Lonchura striata: one gene and its partners. The protein of the gene in region 3 purifies or fractionates together with the protein of the main gene of each other region. This does not show direct contact. Links are inferred from orthologs where the notes say so. Each region holds a gene or a part of one and is shown on either strand. Other genes may lie near its edges.

Evidence for each region.
Region 1: the proteins of RBBP4 (region 3) and SIN3B purify together in Homo sapiens (affinity purification with mass spectrometry; 4 studies listed by BioGRID and IntAct, with this or other methods). This does not show direct contact. The link is inferred for Lonchura striata from reciprocal best matches to the Homo sapiens genes RBBP4 and SIN3B.
Region 2: the proteins of RBBP4 (region 3) and CHD3 purify together in Homo sapiens (affinity purification with mass spectrometry; 9 studies listed by BioGRID and IntAct, with this or other methods). This does not show direct contact. The link is inferred for Lonchura striata from reciprocal best matches to the Homo sapiens genes RBBP4 and CHD3.
Region 4: the proteins of RBBP4 (region 3) and PWWP2A purify together in Homo sapiens (affinity purification with mass spectrometry; 4 studies listed by BioGRID and IntAct, with this or other methods). This does not show direct contact. The link is inferred for Lonchura striata from reciprocal best matches to the Homo sapiens genes RBBP4 and PWWP2A.

Annotation. Positions count from the first base shown.
Region 1 is NC_134630.1:3,955,810-3,963,266, forward strand, and holds the start of SIN3B (paired amphipathic helix protein Sin3b), read right to left. Parts: upstream 3,017-7,457; coding exon 2,912-3,016; intron 2,292-2,911; coding exon 2,185-2,291; intron 1,390-2,184; coding exon 1,236-1,389; intron 174-1,235; coding exon 1-173.
Region 2 is NC_134636.1:1,912,582-1,919,483, forward strand, and holds the start of CHD3 (chromodomain-helicase-DNA-binding protein 3), read right to left. Parts: upstream 3,017-6,902; 5' UTR 2,915-3,016; coding exon 2,653-2,914; intron 1-2,652.
Region 3 is NC_134628.1:930,436-937,768, forward strand, and holds the start of RBBP4 (histone-binding protein RBBP4), read right to left. Parts: upstream 3,020-7,333; 5' UTR 2,945-3,019; coding exon 2,929-2,944; intron 1,187-2,928; coding exon 1,039-1,186; intron 775-1,038; coding exon 629-774; intron 1-628. Other genes in the region: ZBTB8OS (protein archease), read left to right, coding at 4,664-4,751, 6,125-6,149, 6,686-6,807, 6,997-7,079. UniProt on the Homo sapiens protein: Core histone-binding subunit that may target chromatin assembly factors, chromatin remodeling factors and histone deacetylases to their histone substrates in a manner that is regulated by nucleosomal DNA.
Region 4 is NC_134617.1:1,276,036-1,283,466, reverse strand, and holds the start of PWWP2A (PWWP domain-containing protein 2A), read right to left. Parts: upstream 3,006-7,431; 5' UTR 2,972-3,005; coding exon 2,316-2,971; intron 1-2,315. UniProt on the Homo sapiens protein: Chromatin-binding protein that acts as an adapter between distinct nucleosome components (H3K36me3 or H2A.Z) and chromatin-modifying complexes, contributing to the regulation of the levels of histone acetylation at actively transcribed genes.

The DNA of each region.
Region 1 (7,457 bases), on a different chromosome or scaffold from region 3:
TTATTGAATTCCACGGAATCAGATTCCAAGGGAATTTGTGATTTATCTTCTTTGTAGGGAAGCTGCTGCCGAAACTCCTCAGAGCAGTCGCTGTGGTTGTGGGAGTTCTCCTGGGAGTAGTGCAAGACCAGCCCACTGCCAGGGAGTGCACTGGGGACGGGCTCTGGGGGCACCTGGGGGCACAGGACACACGAGATGGGTTGGAAAAAGATCAGGGACCAGCTGAACAACAGCCCAGCAGCAGTGCTGGCAAGTCTCCAGCTGAAAAATAATGTCACGTGAAGAAGGAAGAAAAAGGAGTTCAGTCACCAATCAATTTCCCTACCTGGTTTATTAACTCCATCAGTTAAAATAATGCCTGAAGTTCTCCCTGGTGTAAGAACCACCTGATTTGTGGCTGTCACAGCCTTATTGGCCTCAACTGAGAGGCTGCACCAAACACCACTGCAGGTTCTGCTACACTGGTTATTGCAGAGGAGCTGCCAGTTTTAAGGGGCATATTAAACATACAGCCCTTACAGGTGTTAATTCCTAAGCAACACAGGGATCTGAGGGAGCTGAGATTTAAAAGGTTGTTCCTGCTGCTAACTAGACTTACACCACAAGTTTATCAGCAGAATTCAGTTTATGGCTGTATTTCAGCTCCACACAGTAATAACAAAAATCAAGCAGGGGCGACATCCATCTGTATCCCAGCAAGTGGGTCTCACACCAACAGTATCTGATGGGGATTCCATGATCTTAAAGACCTTTCCCAATGTCAACAACTCAATGATTTCACAGTTCTTTTGCCTGTTTCCTAAGCAAGTTTCCTGGTTTCTCAGTGGAAGACTGGAAGTGCAATTCTTCCAGGATCACCCCTTGAAATTTGCCACTACCCACAACCCATACTGGGAACAATGTCAAGCCAATTCCAGTTTCAGTTTCCAAACACGACTGAAATATTTGGTGTTGAAATGGTGTTTCCATGCAGAATCATCATTCCTGTGTAAGTCAAACTACCTGGTTTGAGAATAAATTGGAGGTTGGAACTAGGTGATTTTTAAGGCCCCTTGCAATCCAAAGCATTCTATGATTCTTTGCATAAACATTTACATTTATATTACACCCATTAAAAAGGCTTTAAAAACATCAGCAACAAGCACTATACATAAATCTCCACAGCCTAAACTGTGCAGACATGTCCAGTGACACATGGAACAGTTTATTTAGAGGATAAGAGTTCTGTGACCTACCTGACTATTCAAAGGTGACTGTATACTTAATTTCCCATTCTTTGGAATTTCTATCCTGTAGCCCAGAGGAAGAAATGCATTGAATCCTACAATGAGGTCGGGATGCTCATGGAAAAGCTGAGAAACACGTCGGATGACTCCAGGTGTGTCAATGCTAAAATTGAGAGGCGCTTGTTACTTATTATCCAAATCAGAAACACAAGTTAAGCCCAGAAACTGCCAAGAGAAATGTGAAGTATCTAGTAAATTAGGGGTGCAATTATTTAAAAAAACAATTAGCCAAATTAGAGGGAATGACCACTGCAGCTTCACCCTGGGAGTGTTATCCTTGGGGAGGAGAGATGAGTGTGCAGGTTGGCAAAGGGACAGGACAGACAGCCAGCACCTCCAGAGCTTGCAGGTCACAGGTTCTGTTCAGGTTGCTTCACTTATTTCCCAGATCTGCGTTTCAGAGTGGAAAGCAAAAGCAGATTTGCTTTTTCCTGTGCATTTCACCTCTGGAAAATTATGGGATGGGCAGAAGTACTCCAGCTTCACAGAACTGCACCACTGGGGAACAGGGCAGTGAGTGTGCAGAGGAGGAATGATGGGGTGAAGGCTGGGGGGCTCTGCAAAGGCAGAGAGACCCCACAAAGGCTGAGACCTTAGGGAAGGGCTGGAGCTGTGCCAGGCCTTGGCATGGAGCTCAGGGAAAGGTTCTTCCCCCCGAGGGTGCTGGCACTGCCCAGGCTCCCCAGGGAATGGTCCCGGCCCCGAGGCTGCCAGAGCTGCAGGAGCGTTTGGACAGCGCTCTCAGGGCTGCTCAGGGTGGGGCTGTTGGGGGGTCTGGGCAGGGACAGGGGCTGGGCTGATGATCCCTGGGGGTCCCTCCCAGCTCAGGATGTTCGGGCCTCTGTGAAATGCTGATGAGGTCCTTAGAGCACCCTGGGGTGAAGGACCTTGGCTTTACCTCTGGCTCTTGAACTCCTTCATGATCTCCAGGAAGCCGTTGTAGGTGGCAGGGTCGCTGCCAAAGCGGATCTTCACCTGGTCCAGGTAGGACAGCGCATCCTCCACCTGCGGGGTGAGAACATGGTGGGGAACAGGCCCCGGAGCCCCCACGGCACCAGAACTGGGGCGGGGGCACCTCAAGACACCCTCAAGGGGGTGGGAACCGGCGCCGGGGGAGCCCCGCAGCAGCGGCGGAGGGCACTCGGTACCGGAGGACGGCAGGCCCCGGCGGGCTGCCCGTGCCCGGGGGTGGCACGGCACGGAGGGGGGCACGGCACCGGGGAGCCGGGAACAGGTCCCTGGGGAGGATGACCGCAGTACCTGAGAGGAACAGCAGGGCCGGGGAGAGGGGCAGGGCCCAGGCGAGGGGGGAACAGGCCCGGGGAGCCCTCACGGTACCGGGGGAACAGGACACGGAACCGGGGGAAGGGGATGCAGCCCCAGGGGACCCCACGGAACCAGCGGAGGAAGGCGGGGATGCCCCCGGCGCGAGGGGGACGAGCCCCCGGGACACCCCCCGATACCGGCGGGTGAGGGACAAGCCCTGAGGGGCGAGTTCGGCACCGCAGCCGGGACGGGGCAGGTCACGGCGGGGGCGGGCGGGGCCGTCCCGGGGGGGGCGAGGAGCGGCCATTCGCGGGGGCGGGGGAGGGTGGGGAAGGGGCGATGGCGGCCCCCGCACTCACGTGCACCGGCAGCTTCTCGTGCGGCGCGGCCCGGCCGCCGCCGCCGCCCCAGCGCGGGGCGCTGCCCCCGCCGGCCCCGCGGCCGCCGCCGCCCCCCGCCGCCATGTTGGAGTCGGGCGGGCGAGCGCGGCCCCGGCGGCGCGCGCCGCCGCTGCGTCAGCGCGCACGGCCCAGGCCACGCCCCCTCCGCAGCGAGACCCGCCCCCTCCGTGCCTCCGCCCTCTGATTGGCCACGCCCCGCCATAGACCACGCCCCCTCACCGCCCACAGGGTGTGGCCACGCCCTCATCCGTGCAGGCCACGCCCCCAGCGCCGCTTCCGGCCGTTCGAGCGAGCGGCGGGAGCGGCGCCTCAGCAGCGCCTCAGCAGCGCCTCAGGGACCTCCTCAGGGGCCTCCGGGGCCCAGGGGGAGCTGCTGGAGGAGCCCGGGGGGCTGCGGGATCCCTGGGATCTTTGGGAGTCTGCAGGAGCCGCGGGCTGAGCACTGGAACTGCCGGGGCTGGAGAAACGGCGACTGGTGCTGCGGGGCTGAGGGAGCCGAGGGGTGTTGGAGAGACTCAGACGGGGCTGGAGGAGCCCAGGGGTGGCTGGGGAAGGCCGGGGGAGCTGGTGGGGCCTGTGGGGAGCCTGAGGAACGAGGGCTGGGGGAGCCCCAGGGGCTGGAAGAGGCAGGGGGTGTGGAGGAGCCGGGGTGAGAAGAGCCATGAGGGGGTTTGGGAGAGTCATGGGGGGGTTGGGGGAGCTGGAGGGGCTGGAGAGCCCGGGGAGCCCCTCAATGGTGTGCCCTGAGCTCAAGGGTTGCTCTGGGGTAGCAGGGTAAATGTAGGCTTAAAATATGCCACTTCCCCCAGCAGTTCCTGTCAGCAGGCAATTTGAACTCAGTAAAACTGAGTTACATGAAGAGCAAAGAGGAGAGGGGGAAAAATAAAGCCGTGTGATTTGTTTTTCTTTAAAGCATTACAGATGATTTGCATCATAGAAAAGTGCAGAGAAGCCTTTCTTGCTTTGCCTTTAAACTTGCTGCTGGTATTTGAGCTCAGAATATTTTTCTCTATGTTGTGCTGGAGTATTCCAGCTGTTTGCAGCTTTCAGGCAGGATGCTCACACACGGCCTCTGGATGTGATATTCCATCCCCTGTTCTGATACTTGCACAAACTGCTGCCCTGTGACCCATTTCCCTTCATACAGGAAGGATTTAATTAATAAAGACTTTTTCTTTCACAGTTACTGCTTTCAGCAGCCAGACTGGTGGATTGATTCAGTGACCCAGCATACAAGTATTTATCATCTTTGGAGAAGCAGGCACTGCAAAGGCCTTTCAGGAGAGATGTGGGCTGAAAATGGCATTAGATTGTTGTGCTGGTAAATACAGGTTGGAGATGTTTTAGAGTTTTCAGTGGTTATTCAGTGCTTAAGAATAGAGATAATAAATACAGATTTTTACAGGAGTAATACTGGAAGAGTGGTGGGAGCCAAATACAACTCCTAGGTTATGAAGCACTCATAGCTGTGCAGGAAAGAGCCTGGTAGGGAACGTAAAGACCTTTATTCCACCTGTGGAAAGGAGTAGCTCAGAGATATCTTTGGTGTGTTGTCAGGCAAAAGAAAATCATTGATCCAACCCCCTGCACCTCTTTTATTTTTTCCTCCTGGATTCTCCTGAGCTGGCCCAAATTCTGTTTTCTGTTACTATTATTAACTTGAGAAGTCTCATCCTCTTCCCTGGTTTGTGCCATGTGGTGACATGAGCAGAACCAGCTGCAGGTAACACCTGTGAGTTCTGTTTTCTGCCAGAGCACAGTTCCCAGCCCTCAGCCCCTGCCAGCACCAACACTGACTGGTGAATCCAGCTGTGAGGATGCTCCCAGACCAGCCCTGGGTGCTGGGAAAATGTGCCTGACATTTTGTCAGGATTTGGGTGTTCTTGGGAATCCTGGGAGCTGGATGTCCATTAACCATTGACACTCAGCTCCTGGTGTCTCAGAATAGCTCAGCTCAAGTTGCTGCTGACAGAGCTCCAAGAGAGCTGCCAAGCAGGAGATCTGTGACCTTCCAAAGGGAGCCCTTGGGCCCCAGGGCACTCCTAAGGACTGAATCCCTGTGATCTCCAAGGAAATCCGGGATCTGGGTTCTGATGGTGTGCCTGGGCCTGTGGATCTGTTAGGAATAAATCATCCCGGCCTGTGGCAAACTGCTCCTCCTGCCTCTTGATTGTGGCTCTGGAGGAAGGATGACACTTGTTATAAATGAAAACTCCAATTTAATAATTAAAGAAAATGTATTAAATGTTCCAAATATAAATTTAGAGAATAACAACGAAAAGCCACTATCAAAAAAAAAGGGTCGGTGCCGAGCTCGGGTCTGACACAGCTTTGACTGCTGTGGCAGAGGATGCTTCACACCGACTGTCCCATCTGACCATTTTTAAACGATATTTCTTGCCCGAGGCAGAGTCCCTTTTCTTCCTTTTCGGACTGCAAGTATTCATGTGGAGTTCTTTTCTCTGTGGCAAATTGAACAATACATATCTGAGAGTGATCCAATTCCTGGAATTCTTATTGAGATGTATCTCCCTGATGGCTCTGGCTATCTTAGTCTCAGATATTTATCGAGTATTTATCGCCTCAGGCCACCTTATGGATGATCCATCTCCGGGCTGGCCACGTTCATTTGCTTGTAAATTAAGTCCTCCCTCCCTTGTCTGGGTGGTCTCCATCTTGTGTTGCATTCCCTGTCGCTTAAAAACTTACTAGAGTTTGTCTTAACAGTATATAATTATAAAATATACGACAATTTTATTTATTGTCATGTATTATTTATTTATGTCATGTACACATTATATGTGTACATGAATTATCATGTACACGTATAACAACAGTGACATCCTGCCTGCAGTTCAGTGGGAAGACAAGGGCTTTGTCCCGGGAAAAGGAGCTGGCTTTGCTCGGATATTTCCAAGCATCTCACTCAGGCAGGTGTGTGCATTGTGTCACACCCTTCACCTGTGAAACAGGGAAATCTGAGAGACTGCCCCTACTCTGTCTGCCCTCAGATGGGCTCAGGATTGGCTTCCTTACTTGGGAAATGGCTTATTATTCATATTTCAAGTTTTCACCTGTCACAAGCTGCAACCTTCAAGGTTGTGGCTGCAAATCTGTGGTTCTTTCAGCCCCTTTAAGCTAAAGACTGACAGGTACCTTTGTACCTGAGGAAGAACAGACAATCCTGTGTCCCTCATCCACAGGAAGGTGATGTGAGGACTGTTCTTTGGGATGCATATTCTGGATAATGAACCTACCTCTGCCAGAAATCAAATTCCAGATGTTTAGCCTGTGGTCCATGACAGAAACACCACAGGTTCCTTTTTCAAACACTTTCACACACCTCGCCTCAGCTAAGTAAGAGAGGGGCTCACAGAACGAGGGCTTCTCTGTTGTTTTGCAACAACATGGCTGGGAGATGTCTGTGTGCCTAAAGATCCAGGACTGCCATGCTGACACAGCTCTTCTGAGGCATGAAAGCAGCCTTCCAGCCCCAAAAATTGGAGAAGGCTCAGCAGAGTGCCCAGGAAGGGCATGCAGCATCTCAAAAACTTCCATATTCCAGACAATCACAGAGCCATCCTGGGAAGCTGCCACCAGCAGCTGGCAATCAGGACCAAGTGCCATCGCTGTGACACACAGAGAGGCAGGAGAGGCTGCTCTTGCTGCCACAGACAGAAAAAGGACATTTTTGAGCTTGTTTATGTGCTGTGTTTCCCCAGCTGGAACCCCAGGTCCTGTCTGAACCCCGTGGTCTGTGCCAGGAGCAAGATTAGGTTCCTGCAGACATATCTAGGTCAGTGTGTGCTGTTGTTGTCCTGGCGACTAAATGACCCACTTTCTCCTCATTTGTGGAAGCAGCTGCCAATGGGGCCAGGGCATGGACAGCACAAAGGCACAGCACCTTCCTCCTGCCTTTGTCTCCAGGCTGGGCTCCTACAGAAACTGGGCTTTTCTCCTCCAAATTTATTGTGCTTCTTGCAGGGAAAATCCCTCCTTTTGTGAGCCCCACTCTTTCTTGATAGCTGAGGTGAGGTGTGTGGAAATTTGAAAAAGGAACCTGTGCTGTTTCTGCTGCCATGGATCACAGGCTGTGCATCTGGAATTTGATTTCTGGCAGGGGCAGGTTCATTATCCAGGATATGCATCCCAAAGAACAGTCCTCACATCACTTTCCTGTGGATGAGGGACACAAGATTGTCTGTTCTTCCTCAGAAGAACACAATCAATTCTTCCTTCCTGTTTATCGTGTTTCTTGCATCTCATTCATAACAGAGGGATAATTAGAAATATTGTTGGGTTGTATCTGCCCCAGGAATGATCCTACCTTTGAGGAGAGGTGAGATCCTACACACAGCCCTGTGAAGAACTCCACACAGTGGGATGAGCACAGGGTAGGGACAGACCCTGCAGCAGCTCAGGCACTGCTCCACAGCCACCCCACGAGCTCCAGGTAGGAAGCACCAAGGCAGGCAAGAAGCCTGGCCAACACTTCTGTGTGGAT
Region 2 (6,902 bases), on a different chromosome or scaffold from region 3:
TCTTGGAAGGGGAGAATCAGCAACCAAACACCTCAATATGGGGTGCAACAGCCGACCTGGGTCCTGTCAGGTACCTACAGCCCCCAACACTCCGCAAAACAGCCACTCTGGGTCCTGGCAGATGCACAGCAACACCCCTCACCCCACACGATGGGGTCAGCTCCCACTTTGGGTCCTGGCAGGGGACATCCAGCCCCTGTCACCCCACATGACAGGTCAGAGCCCACTTTGGGTCCTGGCAGGGGACATCCAGCCCCTGTCACCTCACATGACAGGTCAGAGCCCACTTTGGGTCCTGGCAGGGGACATCCAACCCCTGTCACCCCACACGATGGGCTCAGCTCCCACTTTGGGTCCTGCCAGGGCACCACCAGCCCCCATCACCCCACACGATGGGGTCAGCGCCCAGTTTGGGTCCTGGCAGGGGACATCCAACCCCTGTCACCCCACATGACGGGTCAGAGCCCACTTTGGGTCCTGGCAGGACACCACCAGCCCCCATCACCGCACACAATGGGTCAGCACCACTTTGGGTCCTGGCAGGGCACTGCCAGCCCCATCACCCCACACGATGGGGTCAGAGCCCACTTTGGGTCCTGGCAGGGGACATCCAGCCCCTGTCACCCCACATGACGGGGTCAGTGCCCACTTTGGGTCCTGGCAGGGCACCACCAGCCCCCATCACCCCACATGATGGGGTCAGAGCCCAGTTTGGGTCCTGGCAGGGCACCACCAGCCCCTGTCACCCCACATGATGGGGTCAGAGCCACTTTGGGTCCTGGCAGGGCACTGCCAGCCCCTGTCACCCCACACGATGGGGTCAGAGCCACTTTGGGTCCTGGCAGGGCACCACCAGCCCCCATCACCCCACATGATGGGGTCAGAGCCCAGTTTGGGTCCTGGCAGGGCACCACCAGCCCCTGTCACCCCACATGATGGGGTCAGAGCCACTTTGGGTCCTGGCAGGACACCACCAGCCCCGTCACCCCACACGATGGGGTCAGAGCCCAGTTTGGGTCCTGGCAGGGCACTGCCAGCCCCCATCACCCCACATGATGGGTCAGCACCCACTTTGGGTCCTGGCAGGGCACCACCAGCCCCCATCACCCCACATGACGGGTCAGTGCCCACTTTGGGTCCTGGCAGGGGACATCCAGCCCCCGTCACCCCACACGATGGGGTCAGAGCCACTTTGGGTCCTGTCAGGGGACATCCAACCCCTGTCACCCCACACGATGGGCTCAGCTCCCACTTTGGGTCCTGGCAGGGCACCACCAGCCCCCGCCACCACCGTGTCCCCTCAGGGCCGGTGTGCGGCCAGAGATGTCCCCACACACGGGTGGCCGCACGGTGACACCCGCGGTGACACTCGCGGTTGTTTACAAACACCTCCCTCCCCTCGCAGCCCACCCCCGGTACCGCCGGGAAGCGCCGAGGGGAAAATGGAGCTCAAGAGGTCCCGGTATCGGGGGGAAGCGCTGAGGGGAAAATGGAGCTCAAGGAGGTCTGGGTACCGGCGGGAAGCACTGAGGGGAAATTGAGGCTCAGGAGGGTCCCGGTACCGGCGGGAAGCGCTGAGGGGAGATTTGGGCTCAAAGGGCTCAGGGTGTCCCGGTACCGGCGGGAAGCGCCGAGGGGAAAATGGAGCTCAAAGGGCTCAGGGGGTCCCGGTACCGGCGGGAAGCGCTGAGGGGACAGTGGGGCTCGGGGAGCCTCGGCAGCTGTGGCGGCCCCGGGAATCTCTGAGGGAGTGGGGGCAGACCGGGGGTCTCGGGGGTCCCGGTACCGGCGGGAAGCTCCGGGAGGAGCTGAGGGGACAGCGGGGCTCGGTGGCTGCGGGAGGATCTGAGGGGACGGGTGAGGACCGGGGGGGCTCGGTACCTGCGGGAGGATCTGAGGGGACGGGTGAGGACCGGGGGGGCTCGGTGGCTGCGGGCGCCTCCGGGAAGCGCTGAGGGAGCGGGAAGGGGGAGCTCGGGGGGCGGCCCCGGGAAGCGCCGGGCTCGAGTGGCGGCGAGCTCGGGGGGACGCTTGGGGGGTCCCGGTACCCCCGGGAAGCGCCGGGCTCGAGTGGCGGCGAGCTCGGGGGTTCCGGTACCCCCGGGAAGCGCTGAGGGGCTCGGGGCTCCCGGTAACTGCGGGAATCTCTGAGGGGTTCGGGGTGGTCACTCGGGGAATCTCTGAGGGGTTCGGGGTGGTCACTCGGGGAAGGTCTGAGGGGTTCGGGGTGGTCACTCGGGGAAGGTCTGAGAGGTTCGGGGTGGTCACTCGGGGGGTCCCGGCGGTACCTCGGGGAAGCTCTGAGGGGCTCGGGGTGGTCACTCCGAGGGGCTCGGGGTGGTCACTCTGAGGGGCTCGGGGCGGTCACTCCGCTAAGCTCTGAGGGGCTCGGGGCGGTCACTCTGAGGGGCTCGGGGTGGTCACTCTGAGGGGCTCGGGGTGGTCACTCCGCTAAGCTCTGAGGGGCTCGGGGTGGTCACTCGGGGGGCTCGGGGCGGTCACTCGGGGAATCTCCGAGGGGCTCGGGATGGTCACTCGGAGAGCTCGGGGCGGTCCCTCGGGGGGCTCGGGGTGGTCACTCTGGGGGTCCCGGCGGTCACTCGGGGAATCTCCGAGGGGCTCGGGGCGGTCACTCGGGGGTCCCGGCGGTACCTGCGGGCGCCTCCGGCGGTCCGGGCGCGGCGGGCGCGGGGGGCGGCGGCGGCGGCGGCGGGAGCGGGGCCGGGGCCGGCCCGGCGAAGATGTCGGGGGGCCCTCGGTGCCCGGCCAAGAGCGCGGCGGCAGCGGCGGCGGCGGCGGCGGCGTCTTCCTCCTCCTCTTCCTCGTCGTCCTCCTCGTCGTCGTCCTCCTCGTCCCCCTCGGACACCGCCATCTCCTCCTCCTCCTCCTCGTCCTCCCTCAGCGGGGACGCCATGGCCGGCTGAGGGGCGGGGGGCCGGGGGGACCCTCGGCGTGCGCCGCTCCCACCGCCCCAAACCGCCCCCGCCGCCGAGGCCGGGGGGGCTCGGTGTGAGGGGAAAGTGGGGAGGGGGCGGGACGGGGCGACCCCCCCCGGGCCGGGCCCGGCGGGGCCGCGCGGGGGGCGCGGGGGGGGCGGCGGCGATGGGTTGAAAAACGCCCGGATCGGTTAAAATCGCCTCAGGGCGCGGGAGGCGCCGGGCGGCGGGACGGCGCCGGCAGCGAAAATGGCCGCCCCGGGTGTAATTTTAAAATAAACCCCCCCCCCCCTTTCAACACACACACACACAAAAAAAAAAAAAAAAAAAGAAGAGAAAAAAATATATATAATAATAAAAAACACACCCCGGTAAAGGGGGGGGAAAGGCGTAAAAAAATATGGAGGAGGGAGGGGTTAAAAATGAGGGAAATGGGGGGGTGGTGCCCCCCCCCTCTTCTTGAGGGAAAAAAAAAGCGCAAAATGGCCGAATGAGGGTTTTTTTTTAAAGTTGCCCCACACGCACCTTAAGGGAGGAAAGAGGGTGAAAAAGAGGGGGGAAAAGCCTCAAAAACGCACAAAAAAGCGATAAAACCCAACCCGCGAAAGGGGGAGGGGAATTAAGGAAGGGGAAAAAAAATTGAAATTAATATTTTAGGGGAAAAAAAAAAAAAAGGAGGAAAGGGAAGCGTTCAGGGAAAAGAATGAAGGAAATAAAGGGGAGAATTGAAAAGGAGTTAAATTGGAGGGGAAAGGGAGGGTGAAATGACAAAATGAGGTGGAAAAATGGAAAGGGGCAGGAAGGAGAGGCAAAAAGGGGTAAAAATCGGCATTAAAATTTAAAATGGGGAAGGAATGGGAAGAAAAGGGACAATCGAGCTTAAAATTGATATGGCAAAAGAGGAGAGTCAAAAATAAACATTAATATTTAAAAAGGGAAGGGAATGGAAAAAAGGTTAAAAATAAACAAAAACCAGAAAGGGCTGAAAAGGGTAAAAATAAACATCAAAAAAAAAAAAAAGCGCCAAAAAACCTTAAAAATCAACCGCGCGACGTAAAAAAAAAAAAAAAAATTAAAAAATTAGAAACAAAAGCCACGAAAAATCCTTAAAAATACAAAAAAAAAAAAAAATCAAAAAGCACGAAACCCCTGAAAAATAATAAATCCCAAAGCTCCCCCCACCCCACCCCCCCCCAGCCTTCGCCGTTACTGCCCGAGCAGGCGAATAATCCTCATCCTGCTCATTTTAGGGTATTTTTGGTCGCTTTTGGGGCCTCATTAATGATATTATTTTGCTTTTCCCCCTCCCGAAGATCCCGGCTCGGCGAGGGACAAATATTTGTGTGGCCCCAGCCGGGGGGGACCCGAAGCCGGAGATTTTTCTGCATAAAACAAAGATGGCTGCGGTAAATTATTTCTTTTTTTTTTTTTCTGCTTTTTTTTTTTTCTTCTCTTTCTCCTTATTCTTCCCCCCCCCCCCCCCTCACTCCCATAAAAATATTTCGGGGGGGGATTAATCAGTACTCATGCTCAGTGTGACATCAGCATAAATTGTTAAAGGTTAACTAGTTCCATACTCGTCACGCTTCCCTTTTCATTTTTTAAAGGATTTTTACCCTTCCCCCCCCCTTTTTTTTTTTGCCCATTCCTCCCCCCTCCCTCGGTGATTTTAAACACGCACTAAAAAAAAAAAAATTAAAAAGCAAATTTTTTTTTATTTTTTTTGTTCTTTCTCCCTCCCTCCTCGACTTTGAAATACTTGGGAAGGGAGTGGTTTGGTGGGTTGGGTTTTGGGGTTGTTGGGGTTTTTTTTTCTTTTGGGTGTTTTTTTTTTTTTTTTCTTTTTTTGGAGTTTCTTTAAGGCTGCAACGGAGGAAGAACAAAAAAAAAGGGGGGGTTATAAGGTTTAAAAAAAAAAAGGTTGAGGAAGGGGTTGGAAAGATAGAGGTGGGATTAAAAAAGGTTGGGAAAGGGGGAAAAGATTGAAAAGGAATAAAAAAGATTGAAAAGGGGGAAAATGGAAAAGGAAAAAGATTAAAAAGGGGAAAAATTGAAAAGGGAAAAAACTGAGAAAGGGAAAAAGGATTGAAAAGGGGGAAAAGATTGGAAAAGGAAAAAAGCTTGGAAAGGGAAAATAATGAAAGGAATAAAAAATATTGGGAAAGGGAAAAGGATTTTAAAAGATGCAAAAAGAAAAATGTTGAGAAAGGGACAAATGGTTAGAAAAGAGAAAAGGTTGAAAGAAAAAATATTTTTTAAAACATTGCAAAAGGGAAGAAGATTGGAAAAGGACGGGAAAGGGAAGAAATTATAAAGGGAAAAATTGAAAAAGGAAGAAAATACTCAAAAAGGGTGGAAGCAGAAAAATATTTAAAAGGATGAAAGTTTTAAAATGTTGAAATTGAGAAAAATATTCAAAAAGGAACAAAAGTCACTAGAAGTATTGAAAAATGGAGAAATAATAAAATGAAAAACATTTAAGAACAAAAAAGGATGGAAAGGGAAAAGCTATTTAAAAAGGAAAAAAGTTTGGAAAAGGGGAAGAATAAAAGAGAAAAAGAATGAAAAGACAGAGAAAATGAAAGAAAATTTAAAATGTAAAAAACTGAAAAAGATTTAAAAATTGAAAAAGGAAAAGAAGGATTAAAAAAGGGGGGAAATACTGAAAGAAAGGGAAAAGTATTAAAGGGGGGAGATAAAAAATGGGAAAAAGATTCAAAAGAGGGACAAATACTAAACACAGAAAAATACTTTAGAAAGGGGAAAAGTATTTTAAAAGTGGGCAAAAATCAAAAAAGAAAAGATTTGGAAAGAGTTAAAGTGATGGGGAAAGATTCCAAAAAGAGAAGAAAGTGTTAAAAAAAAAAGGGGGGAAAAGGGGGAAATTAGGAAAAGGGGAGGGAAAAAAAGGTGGAAAGAGAACAAATATTGAAAAAAGGGGGAGAAATTGAAAAAGGAGAAAGAAAATATTAAAAAGGGGAGAAAAAAGGGTTTAAAGTTCCCCCAAATCCAGGCCAAATCCTCCCCCCAAAAAAACCCAGAGGTGAAATGGAGGAGTTTGTCCTCAGTGATGGTTTTTAGGGGTGAAGTTGCCCAAAATGCTCCAAAATCACCCCAAACCCCCCAGGCTGTGCCTGCCCCTACCCCACCTCTGGAGTTTGCTGCCTTTTTTTTCCTTCCCCTTCCTTTCTGGGGCCTTTTTACCCCAAAAATGATGGGAAATGGGGTAAAAACCACTCCAAGTTTGGGGGTTTTACCCTATTTGGGTTTTTAACCCAAAAGCTGTTCCTGGTTGTTGTCACTCAGAACAAGGAACACCCAAATCCCCCAAAATCCACCCAAAACCTCGTGTGACACCCCCAGAACCCCCAAATCCCCCCAAAACATCGTGTGGTACCACAAGAACCCCAAATCCCCCCAAAAGAACCCCAAATTCTCACAAATTTTCCCCAAATTTTCCCCAAAATCTCGTGTGACACCCCCAGAACCCTCAAATCCCCCCAAATTCCACCCAAAATCTCGTGTGACACCCCCAGAACCCCCAAATCCCCCCAAATTCCACCCAAAACCTTTTGTGACACCACAAGAACTCCAAATCCTCACAAATTCTCCCCCAAAACCTCGTGTGACACCCCCAGGACCCCCAAATTCCACCCAAAATCTCTTGTGACACCACAAGAACCCCAAATTTTCACAAATCCCCCCAAATTCTCCCCAAAAACCTCATGTGACACCCCAAGAAGCCCCAAATCCCCCCAAAATCTCCCCAAAACTTCATGTGGCACCACAAGAATCCCAAATTTTCACAAATTCCCCCCCCAAAATCCCGTGTTACACCCCCAGAACCCCAAAATCCCCCCAAATTCCACCCAAAACCTCGTGTGACACCACAAGAACCCCAAATTTTTACAAATTCCCCCAAAATTCTCCCCCAAAAGCCCTGTGTGACACCACGAGGGCCCCAAA
Region 3 (7,333 bases):
AGAGCAAAATACTCATTGCACAATCCAAACTTCCTGTAAAAAGTAGAGCAAACATTGGATCATTGAGGACTTTCACCTGGTGGAAAGACTGATTCAGCCAAGCAAACAGGAGAAATGTCTAACTTGAGACAGCCACAAAGGTTACAAAGCATCAAATTAAAGTCTGATACATGGAATGAAATATAATTGTGGAACAGCAATCAGGCAGCAGAACTCACAGAATGTTTGAAATGTTAACACTCCTCTGAAATAAAAATATTCTTTTACGTGAGTTTGTGTAAAAATGTTTCGTGTGACTTTGCGTAATGCAAATGTGGTAATAAAAACACCAATTAAAAGCAGTATGTGAGATTCAAGGTCAGTTCCTGAAAAATAGGGAAGGGAGAGGTTTTCCCACACACAAATATTTTTGCAATCAACCTCTACTGTCTGTTTCCATCATCAGAAATATTAGATTAGTAACACATTCAAGAAACAGAATTTGTCTATTAAGGAGGCACCACTTAGAAATAATTTTTTTTAGAAGTAAAATCTAAACTTTGCTGCCTGAACTTTAGGGAAAGACAGAATTTCCTACTGAGAAATGGAAGGGGAAATGGTTCAAATTCCCCTTTTTTTGGGCTCTTACCTCCTTTCTCACTGTCATAGTGGGAAGCATCAAACTGGGCATCGTCGTTGGGCAGCTGCACGCTGGCGATCACCAGGTGGTTTTGTTCATCTGAGGTGTGGGTGCCCAGCACCAACCTGTGGATGCTGAAATCTTTGCCTTCAGGTCTGCAGGGGAAGAGAAACAAAACAGGGATCACCAAATCTCTTCCCTGTGAGGATGAGGAGGTGCTGGCACAGGGGAATTTGTCCAAGGCCAGGTTGGGCAGGGCTTGGAGCAATGTGGGATAGTGGAAAGTGTCCTTGGATGAGCTTTAAGGTCCTTTCCTGCCCAAACCACTTTGGGATTGTGTGATCTCAACCTAAAAGCCAGCACAATCCTGGATTTTCTGCTTGTTCTGCTTTAAAAAGAGAGCAGAAGGGTCCCTTTACCTTGTGACATCAGGCAGCCACTGAGCAGTCAAGCTGGGCCACTCCAGGGCATGGGTCATCACCAGATCATACAGGAAGGGGGTGTTCTTTTTCCATATCTTATATTCCTCGTTGATCACACGCTCTTCCACTGCATCATCAAAGGCTGCTGAAGTGTTTTTTCAAGAAATACATGCAATTAATTATTTGTAAATGAATTTACAGACATACAGCGCTGTGGGCAGGCAATGGGTTAGAGTCAAGTACATCAATCACACCCTGGTTTGCTATTTGCTCTACTGGAATAGTTACTAAACGGTTAAAAATCCCCTGTTGCACATGCTAATCCTTTTTTATGCATACATGGCTGGGAATTAACATTAACTATGTCATATTTCATGCCTAGAAGTGTCCCAGGGCAGGCTGGACAGGGCTTGGAGCAAGCTGGGATAGTGGAAGGTGTCCCTGCCATGGCAGGGGTGGAATGGGATGAGTTTAAGAAATGGCTCAGAAGAGGAAAATCCATTCTGGGATGATTTGAGGACGATGCTGTTAGAGCAGCACAATAAAATTCTGAGACTCAAGCACAGGGAGGCAAAACCCAGGCTTGTAAAGATGTTTAAACACAGGAGATCCAGCAACTGCTGTTTAACAGACCGGTCTGGGCGCAGCCTTGAACTACTTGCTCCCAAAAATCCAGTTTCCCAAGGCTCCTTCTGCTGCCTTGTAGCTCTCCAACACTTCCTTGGCCTATCTGTCACCAGCCTCCGGTGCAGAGAAGGTGACGGGCAGACCTGGGGGGGCTCACCCGTGGAACGGGGACACCCTAAAGGAACTGGGGACACCCCCATGGAACGGGGGACACCTCCATGGAACGGGGGGTACATACTTAAGGAACCGGGGACACATCCTGAAGGAACTGGGGGACAACCTCAAGGAATCGGGGACACCCCTAAGGTACCGGGGGACACCCCCAAGGAATCGGGGACACCCCCAAGGAACCGGGGGTACATCCTGAAGAAACCGGGGGACATCCTCAAGGAATGGGGGACACCCCCAAGGAACCGGGGGAGATCCTCAAGGAATCGGGGACACCCCCAAGGAACCGGGGGTACATCCTCAAGGAATGGGGGACACCCCCAAGGAACCGGGGGACATCCTCAAGGAATGGGGGACACCCCCAAGGAACCGGGGGACATCCTCAAGGAATCGGGGACACCCCCAAGGAACCGGGGGTACATCCTCAAGGAATGGGGGACACCCCCAAGGAACCGGGGGACATCCTCAAGGAATGGGGGACACCCCCAAGGAACCGGGGGACATCCTCAAGGAACCGGGGACACCCCCATGGAACCAAGGATGTCCCCCAGTTCCTTCAGGGTGTCCTTTAGGGAGACACCTCCATGGAACCGGGGAACACCCTCAAGGAACCGGGGACACCCCCACGGAATGGGGGGGACACCCTAAAGGAACTGGGGACATCCTCAAGGAACTGGGGGACACCCCCACAGAACCGGGGCTCTCCCACGGGAGGGGAGAACCCCCCTGCGGGACCGGAGCTCACCCATGAAACGGAGGCACCCCCGCCCAACCGGGGCACCCTCCGGTGCCACCCTCGTGTGCCCGCTCCCCGCGCAGGGCACGGCCCGGCTCTCCCGGCCTCACAAGCCGCTCCGAGGGGCACAGGGGCGGGCGGAGGGCCCCGGCCCGGGCCGCTGCCCGCGGGCGGTGCGGCGGGCGCGGGGAGCGGCGGCGGCCATGCCTGAGGGGGAGCGCTCAGGCCCCGCCCCCGCGCGCCCCCTGGCGGCACCGCCCCGCTCCCCTCACGCCGTAACGGAGCTGCGGGGGGGGAGAGGGAGGGAACCCCGCGCCTCCCGGCGGAGGCCGCGCCGCCCATAACGGAGCCTTTACCTTCCTTATCCGCCATGGCGGGGCGGGGGGGGAGCGCGGCGGGGCGCGGGGAGCGAGGCTGGGCGAGGCGGGCGGGCGGTTCCTGCGCTCCCTGCGCTCCCTGCTCCGACCCCTCCGGCCGCGGCTCCGTCTATTGTTTCCTGCCCCCGCTGCGTGCGGCTGCCGGCGCCGCGCACCCCTTCGCGCGCCAACGCCGCCCAATCAGCGCCCGCCGCCGGGAGGCGCCGGCCAATCGGCGGAGGGCAAAGGGGCGGGGAGGGGAGCGCGCGCCGCCGTCCCGTGGGCGGGCTCCCCGTGGGAGCCGCCATTTTCCGGAGCGCCCTCAGGAGCGCTCTTAAAGGGGCCGCGCCCCGAGCTGAGGGGCGCCGGGTTCGGTGCCAGTTCCCGGTCCCTCGTTTGGAAGAAGCGGTGGCTGCGGCTCCTCCGGTCACCACAGACGTGGGAAGTGCGTATCGCAGCGGGACCGGACCGGTGCGAGTGTGGGCCGAGGCCGCCATCCAGGGCCGCCCTGCCACCATTGGGTATCCTCGGCGTGTTATTAATTCTCTGTAATCACGAATATGTTCCCTTTTCCCACAATTTACTGCCGCGGTGAGTTTTAAAGGCGTGACATTTGCTGGTTCTGGTCGGCTGCTGTGCTGTCCACAGGTGAGGCTTAACAGGTTTAAAATCAAATATCAGTATCTGGGTTTATTCCTCAAGGGATACCTCGAGTTCTCAACTTCAGACACCTCTTTCCAACACACTTAGATTTTTAGCTGAAATTAAAAATTGGAAATCTTAAGCCTTGTTTCTAAGCTTTGGAGTAAGAAGCGACTCCTGTGTAAAAGTTAAGGTATATCTATAAATTATTTGTGTTTGGGGAAGTGCTGGGTTCAGCTGAGGATAATTCTTATAATGCACAAAAATATTAAAGAATCGTTGTGATATCTGGAAATCTGGAGAGGTAAATTAATCAGCCTGAAGTTAATTGGGTTCATCAGTTTCTCTCATGTTGAATTTACAAAAGAACAGGAAAAATAAAATTTGTGAGATTGGGGTGTGAGGATCTGACTTTTATATGGGGGAGTTGATACATTTTCTTTTTTACAGTTCTTTTTTTTCCCCAATTCTTTTCTTTATACAGTTTTTTACAGTTGATACAATTCTTTTTTTTTGTTTTATTTAAAAAATCAGCTGGAGAAGGAACACAGGAAGCCCCTGGCACTTGGGTGACAGCTGGATTTACCATGCACGTGCTTTGAGGTTTAATTTTTTTCCTGAGGAAAAACCTGTAAGGTCACATCAGGGGTTTTTGGGGGCAGTGACACTTCAGGTGTGTGGTGTACAATGGGCTGAGCACCCTCAAAAAATGAATTAATTAGAAAATTGAAATTAACCTAAAGCATGGAAGTTTAATTCACTTCACAGCAGTTCCCATCAGGGCTGTATTTTATTAATTGTGAATGAACTGAATGCTCAATGTACACAAGGAGGAAAAAAACAGAATTCCTCCCAGAAAAGGCCAAAATCCACAATTCCTATAAGGAATATTTTCCCTTGGCTCTGCTGCCTGACCAAACATCACTTCATGGGTGTGGGATTTAATTTCTTCCCTCCCAATCTGACACAAACCAGCTGAAATTCGGAATCCTCCCTGTTCTCCACAGGTTTGTGAGGAAAGCAGGAACTGAGGGAGAATTCCTGGCTCTGCCCCAGCCTGAGGAAGGGAGGGATCCCTGGGGAGCCCTCAGCGATGGCAGCCGAGGACAGGGATTACAACCTGACCCAGGAGCAGAAGGCTGTGAAGGACAAGTACCCCCCTCTCTGCAAGAAATATGAATGTGAGTATTTTTATTTTTTTAAAATATTATCATGATGCAGCGTGTGGCAGTGCTGTTGTGAGGGCAAGGAAGATAACAGGAAATACAGGAATGAAAAACCAATTTTCTTCATGTTACTTTCTTCATTTTTTCCTCAATGTGTTTCCTCATTCCTTTTTTAATTTTCTTCTTTTTATATTTTTTCTTCTTCATATTTTCTTCTTTTTATTTTTTTCTTCATTTTTTTCTTATTTTTATTTTTTCTTTTTCTTTTTTTCTTCATTTTTTCTTCTTTTTCTTCTTCATTTTTTCTTATTTTTATTTTCTTCTTTTTTTCCCTCATATAAACAATTTTTCTTGTTATGGGCACTGAAAAAAAAAAAAAAAACAACACGCTGGAAATAAATGACTCAGGTCTCACCCTGAAAACTTTTCCTCTTCTGAGCCATTTTTTAGCAATTTCTCTACCTCTCCTGTAGGAAGGGACATTAAAAAGTGGGCTGGCTTTGTGTGTGGTGTTTTTACTCTCCTTAAAGATCTCTCCCTTTCCCCACCCCGGGAATGGCTCCTCAGAGGATGTGGGTGGCAGCCCAACCTCTGATAGAATTTCTATTTTTAGGCTGTGTTCAGGTCTTTATTTGCTAGAAGTGCAGAAATTGTGACACATCACAACAGCCACACAGTTTCCATAACTGGAGGAGCTTTTATCCCTCTTTTGCACCCAAAGGAATTTGTTTGCTTTAGAGACTGTTGTCTAATAGTGCGTGATCTCTTTAAACAGCACCAAATTTTTTTTTTTTTTTCAGTTAAAGTGAGCATTTATTTCACATCCCAACTTAGTTCTGCTAGAATTTTCATTTCTTTAATTTCTTTGAATAAACATCAACAAGGTTCACGTACAGCTGGATACATGGGATGTTAATCATGCTCCATGAGTAAAGTTTGCCTTCTATTTTATATTCCATCCTCTGTTTTAAATTCTTCTCTTTGCATAATGGCTGCTTTTGGGTGTGCACAGGTAGATTTCCTTACTGAGCTGGAAATATTTGCAAATCTCATCCTCTGCATGAATAACTTTGAGTCCTGCAGACTTCAGCATAAACATTTTACTCCTGGTGAAAGTTTCTTGTTATTGCAGTTAACCTGTGGAAGCCTGTTGGGTTACAGCAGCCAAACCCTGCACTGACATAATCACATTAAACAGGTTTTTTGGCAGAAATAATATCCAAATTTCCACCTGTGCTAAATTTTTCTAATATACTACAGTAGATTTATCATATATGCAGACGAATGTAAAAATGTTTTGTTAGAAAATCAGATATTTTTGTTATTTTTTTAATCCTTATATTATAAATACTTTTGGTGACATTCCTTTTCTTTTTGCTTCCCCTCAGATTTGGATCACACAGCAGATGTGCAGTAAGTGTGGGCAGCTGGGATTTCTCAGGGTGACAAATTGATTATTTTTTACACTGCTTTAAGCCTGGAGTAACAGCCAAGGACACTTTGCAGATGTAACACCTTGTGGAGCTCTGAAATGTCACTGGGTGCTTTGATATGGTCAGTTTTGCTCCTGCTTTTGGGACACCATAGAATTACGTTTGGTTTCTTTTTTAGCATTCAGTGCTATTTGGAAACGTCTTTTGAAATCTCCTTTTAAACAAAATTTCTTCTGTGTGGTTTACTTTTATAGACACCATTTAGTCACATTAGGAAAGAAAACTAGTAAAACATTTATTTTCCACATTCTCCCAAGAAACTCTTCTGACAAACTTCTTCTAGAAAAATCAGGTGGTTTTTTTTACTCATTCACCTCCTCTGCCTGAGTTCCAATGTTCTAATTGCTCATTTGCATGTGACTTTGGGGCTGTTCCTTTTTGTTGTGATCCAGTATTGTGTTGCAGCGATTGTTGCATGTGTTTTTAGGCTCCAGTGATTGTTGCATGTGTTTTTAGGCTCCATGCCTGGGGAGACACCTTGGAAGAAGCCTTTGAGCAGTGTGCCATGGCCATGTTTGGCTACATGACAGACACAGGCACTGTGGAACCTGTGGATACGGTGGAGGTAGAGGCAGAAGGTGAGGACTGCACCTCTTCTATGCAGAGTTATGAGAAGGAGAAAAGCACCAAAAATCTCAATTTTTACACATAGCTTTAGTGCAGTTAATTAAAATATAATTAAGCATGGTTATCTGAATCTCCTGTACATCTGAGGTGCTGTTGAAAATGTTTTTTTGCTGAGGCAAATCTCTGCTTCAACCACACAGGGCATGACCTATTGTCTCTTCTCTTCCACTTCCTGGATGAGTGGCTGTATAAATTCAGTGCTGATGAGTTTTTTATACCCAGGGTAAGTGTTCTGGTTTCAGCTTTTTCCATTTGTAGGACAAAGCTGTGCCCTGATAATCCCAGCTCTGAATGCAATGGTATTTTAGGGGAAAAAGGAACACAAAAAACACAAGGCAAGGGTGGATGGAGCTTTTGGGGCAAGCTGGGCTGGTGGAAGGTGTTGAAACAGCGGGAAATAACCTTTGTAAGTGGGATTTACTGGGAATTTCTGCCTGAAGGTAGAAGGTGTGACTGACACATTTCTCTTCCCACTCT
Region 4 (7,431 bases), on a different chromosome or scaffold from region 3:
GTAAGAACTGTCAGTCTTAAAATATTGATCCCTTTGGCATTAGGAAAATTGAGATTATTCCCATGCATATGAATGAGACAGATTTCAGCAACCACCCATCTCCCATGCTGGAAATCCCACTGTTGTCATGCAAATGCATGGAATTTAGGTGGTTTTCATTTAGTCCTGCCCTTCTTTTTTTTTTTTTTTTTGGTCCACTGGAAAAACTTATGACAAGAATTCCAGGGCCTACCACAGACACAGAAGGAAGTTTGTGAAAAAATATTCATGTTCTGCAAGTCCAGGTGCTGCTACAGCAAACACAAATAAGCAGATATAAGGAAAAGCTGACACCTAGACAACATCACCTGTTAGTCACCATAGAAGTGATAAAATGGAATTGCTGGACATACAGGCAACACTTTTTTAAATAATGCTTCCATTTCTTAGCGGTAGGAAGTTCTTGGAGTATTTCTAGACCTTGTTTCTCACTGCATTTCCTGCTCTGAGACAACTGATAAGAGACACCCCTGTTATCTACCAACGTTTTGCTGTCACCAGCCCATGAATACAGCCCTTCTGTCTCAAAACTCAGTTCTTGTCCAGGCCCTCCGCAGAGCTCAGCCTTGAGAATTTAAATTTCCCCTCCTGGATTTCCATGCAGAAGCATCTCTGAAGGCAGGAATAGCTCCACTGCCAAGAGAAGCTGGGAGGGCCAGCCCCAGCCTCCCTGGATGGCTTTTCCACAGCTCCCCCTGCACAGCTTTGTCCCAGGAGCTGGGCTTGGACCCAGGGAGGCTGGAGATGCTCCCACCAAGGCACAGCAGCAGCAGCCAGCCTGCAAAAAGACTTTTGCTGCAAAGGGCTGCAGATCTGCTGCCTGCCAGAGGCTCCTCAGTGCACAAGAGCCTGGGAAAACGTGGGGTGATTGTGGCCAGGGTGTGTTTAGGAGGACAAGATCCCTTTCAGGAGAAAAGGAGAAGCTGGTATTCTCCTGCACTCCTGGAAACAGAGGCTTTGTCACCCTCCAGCCCAGGGCAACCATGGCATTCTGCTGGGACAACTTCAAACCTACAAAAGAATCCGTGCTACCCAGGATTACATCTTATTTGTGTCACCTCCTGCCCGGATCTGAGACACTGTTTCACCCCACTAAGTGGCTGGAGTTTTTGCTCAGCGTTTCACACCTCATCAAGTGGCAGACTGAAAACGTCACTCCCTGACATTATCCAAAACTTGGGGGTCAGACAAGGCCTTTTGTATCAAATCCCAGCCTCACAGCCAGAAGTGCTGATCCTCACAATCCTCCTTTTAGAGAGCACCGACAATATTAATATTCCACGAAGTTCCTGAACAGCTACTAACAACATAAAAGGAGTGATAAAAGATATATATCCCCACACAGCTTAAATCTGGGGGAGAAAATTGCTGCATATTTTGCATACCGATTATTTTAAATAATAACCTTGCTTAAATTTCACTCTTCTCTCATGAACTTGCAGAGTCCTTACACGTCTAGAAAAAAAACACTAAGACGAAGAAGTATTTTCACCTGCTGATAGAACCTGGATTGTTTGTAAGATACCATGATTTCTGGTCTCCCAAGAGCTTCTCATATTGAAAGGCAATGAAAAAAAGCAAACCCCAAACCCTGCTGTCTGGTAACTTATTCAGAGATACGTTAAAATCCCCCCCGTCCACAAGGCTATTTAAGAACCATGAAACTTCACCCCGTTCATTGCGTACAAGGAGCAATCAGTACTAATTAACAACTACAACAGCCTAGCTGGAAAACCATTATTCCGGAAAAAGAAGGTTACCTAGGCAATGTAAGGGCGAAGGAAGAGGGCAATCAGATTTCTGATTGTGTACAAAGAGGGGAATAAACGCCACGCTCAGCGCTCGGGCGCTGCTCCCGGCACACAGGGATGCTGCTGCAGCCCCGGCCAAGCCCAAAGGCTGTGCCCATGTGCTCGCCCCTCTCCTGCCTCTCCCAACCCGAGGGGGTCCTGCCCACCCCCGGCTGGAAGGGTCCAGGAGGAGGAAGAGGAGGAAGAGGATGCTCAGGAGCTGCGGGTCCGCTTCCCGGGGAGGACGCGGGGGCAGGAGCTGCTCGGCCCGGGGAGGACAGGGGCCGAGGAGGGATGGGATGGGATGGGATGGGATGGGATGGGATGGGATGGGATGGGATGGGATGGGATGGGATGGGAGCGAAGCTGCAGAGCCCACAAGGCTCCCGGCGGGGCCGCCCCCATCCCGCCCCCGGCGGCTCCGGGAGCGCTCCCGGGCTCGGCGCTGGGTGCGGGGCTCGGGCTGGGCTCCCCCCGAGCTCTCACCTTTTCGAGAGGTCCATGAGGACCCCGGAAAAAAGCTTCTCTCCCAGCCGGAACGAGACCACCAGGGCGTCCTCGATGATGTGGTCCAGGGTGACCCGCACCTCGGAGCCGGGCAGCAGCGCCGGCACCTCCGCCTCCCCTCCGCCCGGGGCCGCGGGCACCGCCGGCTCGGGCTCCGGCGCGGCGGCGGCGGCAGCATCCGGCTCCTCCTCCTCCGGCCGGGGCGGCTCCTCCCCGGGCCCCGCGGAGCCCCCGGCAGCCGGCGGGCAGGGCTGCGGCGGCTCCCGGGCCGGCTCGGGCGGCGGGCAGGGCTGCGGCGGCTCCGAGCAGCCCGGGCTGGGCGCCGCTGCGCGGGGCTCGGCCCGCGGCGATTCCACCCCCGGGCTGCGCGGCGGCTCCTCCGTCCTCCCCGCGTCCGGCTCGCGAGTCCCGCCGGGGCTGCGGGCGCGCTGCACCGGCGGCGGCTCCTCGGCCTTGCCGCCGTCGGCCTCCTCGCCATCCGGCACCGCCGACTCCACGGCCTCGCTGACGGCGGGTAGAGGGTCCGCGCCGGCCTCGCTGCCCGGGATCGGCTCCATCTCGGGCTCGGCCTCGCCGGCCCCGCCGTCCCCCGGCACCGCCGCAGTCGCCGCCGCCTCCGCAGCCATGGCCGCCATTTTCTCCGCCGCCTCCCTCCAGCAGCGGGAGCGACGGCCACGGCCCGCGGGGAGGGAGAGCCCGCCCCCCGCGCCCGCAGACGGCACCCTATTGGCGGGTGCGCCGCAATGATGCGCTTCTATTGGGCAGGCCGCCTGTCCATCCAGCTCCGCGGGAACTTCTCGTTGGTCAGCGGGGGCTTCATTCAGTGCAGAGCCAGGAAGGGGAAGAGGGGGCGTGGTCTAACGCTTTAGAGGCTACGGGGGTGGGGCTAGTGGGGCCGCTTCGCTATCTGATTGGCGGAGAGAGGCGTCGCTCCCGAGGGAGGCCGGTGATTGGCGGCGCCAAGTGTCCGTCGCGGGGCGGGAAGCGGCGCCGGGCAGCGCGCGGGGGAAGATGGCGGGGGCGGGCACGGGGCCGGGTCGCCCCTCAGAGGGATCACGTCCCCCCTCAGAGTGGCCAGGTCACCCCACCATGGGATCGCCCTGCAGCGGCTCCCCCGCGGGCCACGGCCCGGCGCTGCCTCCTGCGTTGTGCAGCGCGGGCAGGGGAGCGGCTGGTCTCCGTGCTGGGGAGCACTGAGGGGGTGACGCGGGGAGAGGGGAATACGCGGAGCTGGAGGGGACCCACAGGATCATCCAGTTCAACCCCCTGGCCCTGCACAGACCCCAGACCATCCCACCCTGGCATCCCTGGAGCGCTGTCCAAGCCCTCCTGGAGCTCTGGCAGCCTCGGGGCCATGCCCATTCCCATTCCCTGGGGATCTGGGCAGTGCCAGCACCCTCTGGGGAAAAACCTTTCCCAAAATCCACCCTGAGCTGCCCTGGCACAGCCCTTCCCTGGCTCCTGTCCCTGCTCAGCACAGATCAATGTCTGACCCTCCTGTTCCTCCCCTGAGGAGGGCAAGGCAAAGGGACTGTTGCCTTTTGTGAGGCAAATCGGCATTTTAAAGTGTTAAGCGCCTCATTAGACACATCAGGTGCAAACGTGGAGTCGAAGGGGAGAAAAGAAAACGAGTTAAAGATTTCCTCCTGCTGGCCCGAGCCCCGTCCAGCCCGGGGCAGCGCTCGGGTCCTGCCCCTCAGGATATGGCAGAGCTCGGGCTGCAAAAGCCCAGTCTGCAAAAACCCGTTCTGCAAAACCAGACTTTTCCAGCCACCTTTGGGGCAGGGGGCCAGAAGGGACGTGGCCTTGGCTACAGAGCAGAGGGGTTTTATCTTGTCATGGTATTTCTGTTCTGTGCGCTCAGGACACTCAGCCCCTGCTCCCTTCCTTGTGGCTGCTGAGCAGAGAACGGGGCCATAAATCCTGAGCCTACCAGAAATTCCCAACTAACACAGAAAGAAACTAAAACTACTCAGCCCTGGAGCTGATGGGATGCGCAGATCCAACAGCTGAGCCCAGCAGGCTCTTTGTTATGTTAAGCTGGGATTTATGGAAAGGATGGGCATAAAATGGAAGATTTTCTTCTTGCAAGTCTGCTGGAACGCACCTTTTCAGCAGGTGTTGCTTGTGGAAGGCATTCAAATGCAAATTGTTGTGTTTTACATCCCCTGGAGATCCCAGCAATTCCTGTGCTCCGAAGGGAACAGAGTGGGTGTATGGCTTGTTCTCTGCTTCACTGCAGTAACAGCAGATTATGTGCTTGACCCTACTGAGGGATCAAAATAAAACATAAACGGCTCCTTTGAATGTTGAAAAGTGCTGTGTGTGCTTTTAAAAAGAGGTAAATTAGGACATTTACAGCCCAGAATAATGCCACACAGAAATACTGTACCATAGGTAACTCTAAAATTCAACCTCACCAACACAGGCATGTGGATGCAGGATGGTACTCGTAAATTTAACAAAAAAGCCCTCACTATATAATTTTTCCCATCCCAAATACCTTTGATCACTATTTATTTTCTATTTATTTCAAATCTAACCTGTAATCTCCTTAAGATAGGATTTGCCTTACAGTGGCTGGTCTGCAGAGTGACTGCATAGTTGGAGCCTTTTTTTCTATCCTGGAACCTTTAGAAACTGCCAAAATAAAACTAATTAAGTTAATGAAACAGATTGCAGTACCACACTCTCTGTAAATTAAACCAAGTCTCTCTGTGTTCAGCAAGTGGCAGGAAGGACAGAAATGGAGAGAAGAAACTATAAATTACAGAGAGGAACAGAGACAATCGGGGGGAATAAAACAATTAAAATGAAGGCAGGAAAAATGCTGAGCTCCATAAAGATGTGTTGCAGTAAATTGTTGGGATGGGCAGCTGAGGAAGCTGAGTTTGGGTGGAGAGAGTGAGGGGGATGCAGGGAAGCAGCAGATCCAGCTGGAGTTTGTGCACAGCACCCACAGGGAGGGAATTGTTTGTGTGGGACGTGAGGAACCTCTAAACTCAGCATTAGTGATATTGATTTGTTCTGTCATGAAACTCCACTCTGAAGTGTGGCTAGTCCCAGCAGGTCTGAGTAATAACTACGTTATTACTTCAGGTGATAACTAATGGGGTGTGGGTGTGGAGATTTTAGCTGCTGGACAGTGGGAACATCACTCTCTGGGCATCCAGTTCCCTGGAAATGCAGTGCCATGAAAGAGGCACGGCCCAGTGCAGGGCTTTAAGGAGCAATATTCATAAATGGACAGTAACCAGGCTTGCAGTGAAGCCAAACCCATGACTGCAGCTTCCCCCAGCTTCCTTGGAGCAAAGCTGTGTTAGCAGGCTCCACGAGGAGCTGCCCCTGGAACTGCCCAGTGGCTGGAACTCGTGGAGCTGCTGCTATCCCAGGGGCTGCAGAGGTCCAGGTGGCCTGAGCTGTCCTTGCTGCAGCTGGTCCATCTCAGTGTGGGCACACAGGGCTCTGGAGGATTTACAGGGACTCTTTGTCTTGGTGGGACAGCAGATCCCTGTCCTGATACCTGCACTGGGATGGAGGAGCTTTAGGGAGGAGGTTCTCAGCCTGCCCCACTGAGGCTCTGGGGCTCCCCACATTCCAGGATGAGGTTTATATCCTCACTGCAGCCTTTGCAGGCTCTGCTGCAGGGACACAGAGCTCTGCTGCCCTGCTCAAGCCCAGCTGCAGTCACAGTGGCTTCCTCTGCCTGCCACAGTGACAGCGGCTTCCTGTGACCCTGGGCAGGGCCACCAAACCTCCCCGAGTCAGGTTTAGTGTTCACAGCTTTACACACTGCTAATAAATCCTCCAGTCAGCATTTTCTAGGCATGATCTGCTGGTGGAGAATGTTCAAGGCTTTCTAAGTTAAAAGGAAAAAGTGTAACCAGTGAAAACCACTGGATGTGAGTAATGCAGAGGGATTCAGGCAAATCAACTGAATCTGGGTCGTGCTTGTGTGCTGCAAACTCACTGCTCCTCTAACAGATTAGGAAAGTAATGCTCTTACAACAGATGTTAATTATATTTAAGCTGGATTGATATTTGTTAGTGAAATATTACAGAAAATTAATTTAGGGTGAGAGAATCACCAGTCCTTCCTGTAATGCTGGTAACTGATTTCTGTGGCCCTATGAGCACAGAGCTCATTTTTTTGGGTTTAGGGATGAGCATTTGGGAAAGCTCACTGCAGTCTCATGTGCCCCAGAATTCTGCCCTGCAAGCTGAAAAGTCAATTATGTGCTGCATTTCTTGTGAACATGAGATGAAGTCAATAAATGGGGCTTAATCTAATGTCCATATGGAGAATTGATTGAAATAGATTTCCAGAGTTGGGGTTGCTTTAAAAGAATGGTAATTGTGAGCCCTTGGGGTGAAGGACTGGCACCGTGTCACTGCTGAGATCTCACTTGGTAGTTGTAAGGAAATGGAGTCTGAAGGTACTTCCTGTTTTATCTCCTAATCTGACTGGTTTCTGCCTCCTCCTGCAGCCTGTGCAGCTGCAGGTGCTGGTGGCAGCCACACTGCATCTCCATGGGTCTCTCCATTCAGAGAAAATGGGCATCATCCCTGGAGCCAGGACAGATGGAGAGGCCAAACTCAGCTGTGGGTAAGGCAGCTTGGTAATTGAGGATTTCTCATTAAAGTCCTCTTTACAGAAATTACAGAAGTCTCTTTAGTCATAAATATGTCAGAGCAACTTTTTTGTTCCTTGTGGTGTTTCCGAGGTTGTTCTACGTCTGCAGTCAAGCTCTGTTCACATCAAGAGTGCCCAACTGGTGAGATGTGACCTTTCCTCACCTGTGGTTCCTGGAGATGAATCCTATTTCAAACAGGAGTAACAGGAAGGGTGAAGCACCTTAATTAGAGGAGTGGGAATCCTACACAGTCTCTTCTCATCGAGGGTAGCTGCTGACAGAGCTCAAGGAGACAGGACAATAGGGGAAATGGAATTCACTGGTAATCATTTGGATCCTTTGTACTTCCGAGATGAAGGAGCAGCTGCCAACTGCCTGTGTCACCGTGTCCTTCTCTTTGGCACTTACATGGAGCCTCATCTCTGCTGGCTGTGAAAAATGGACAGGAACATTTCATTCAC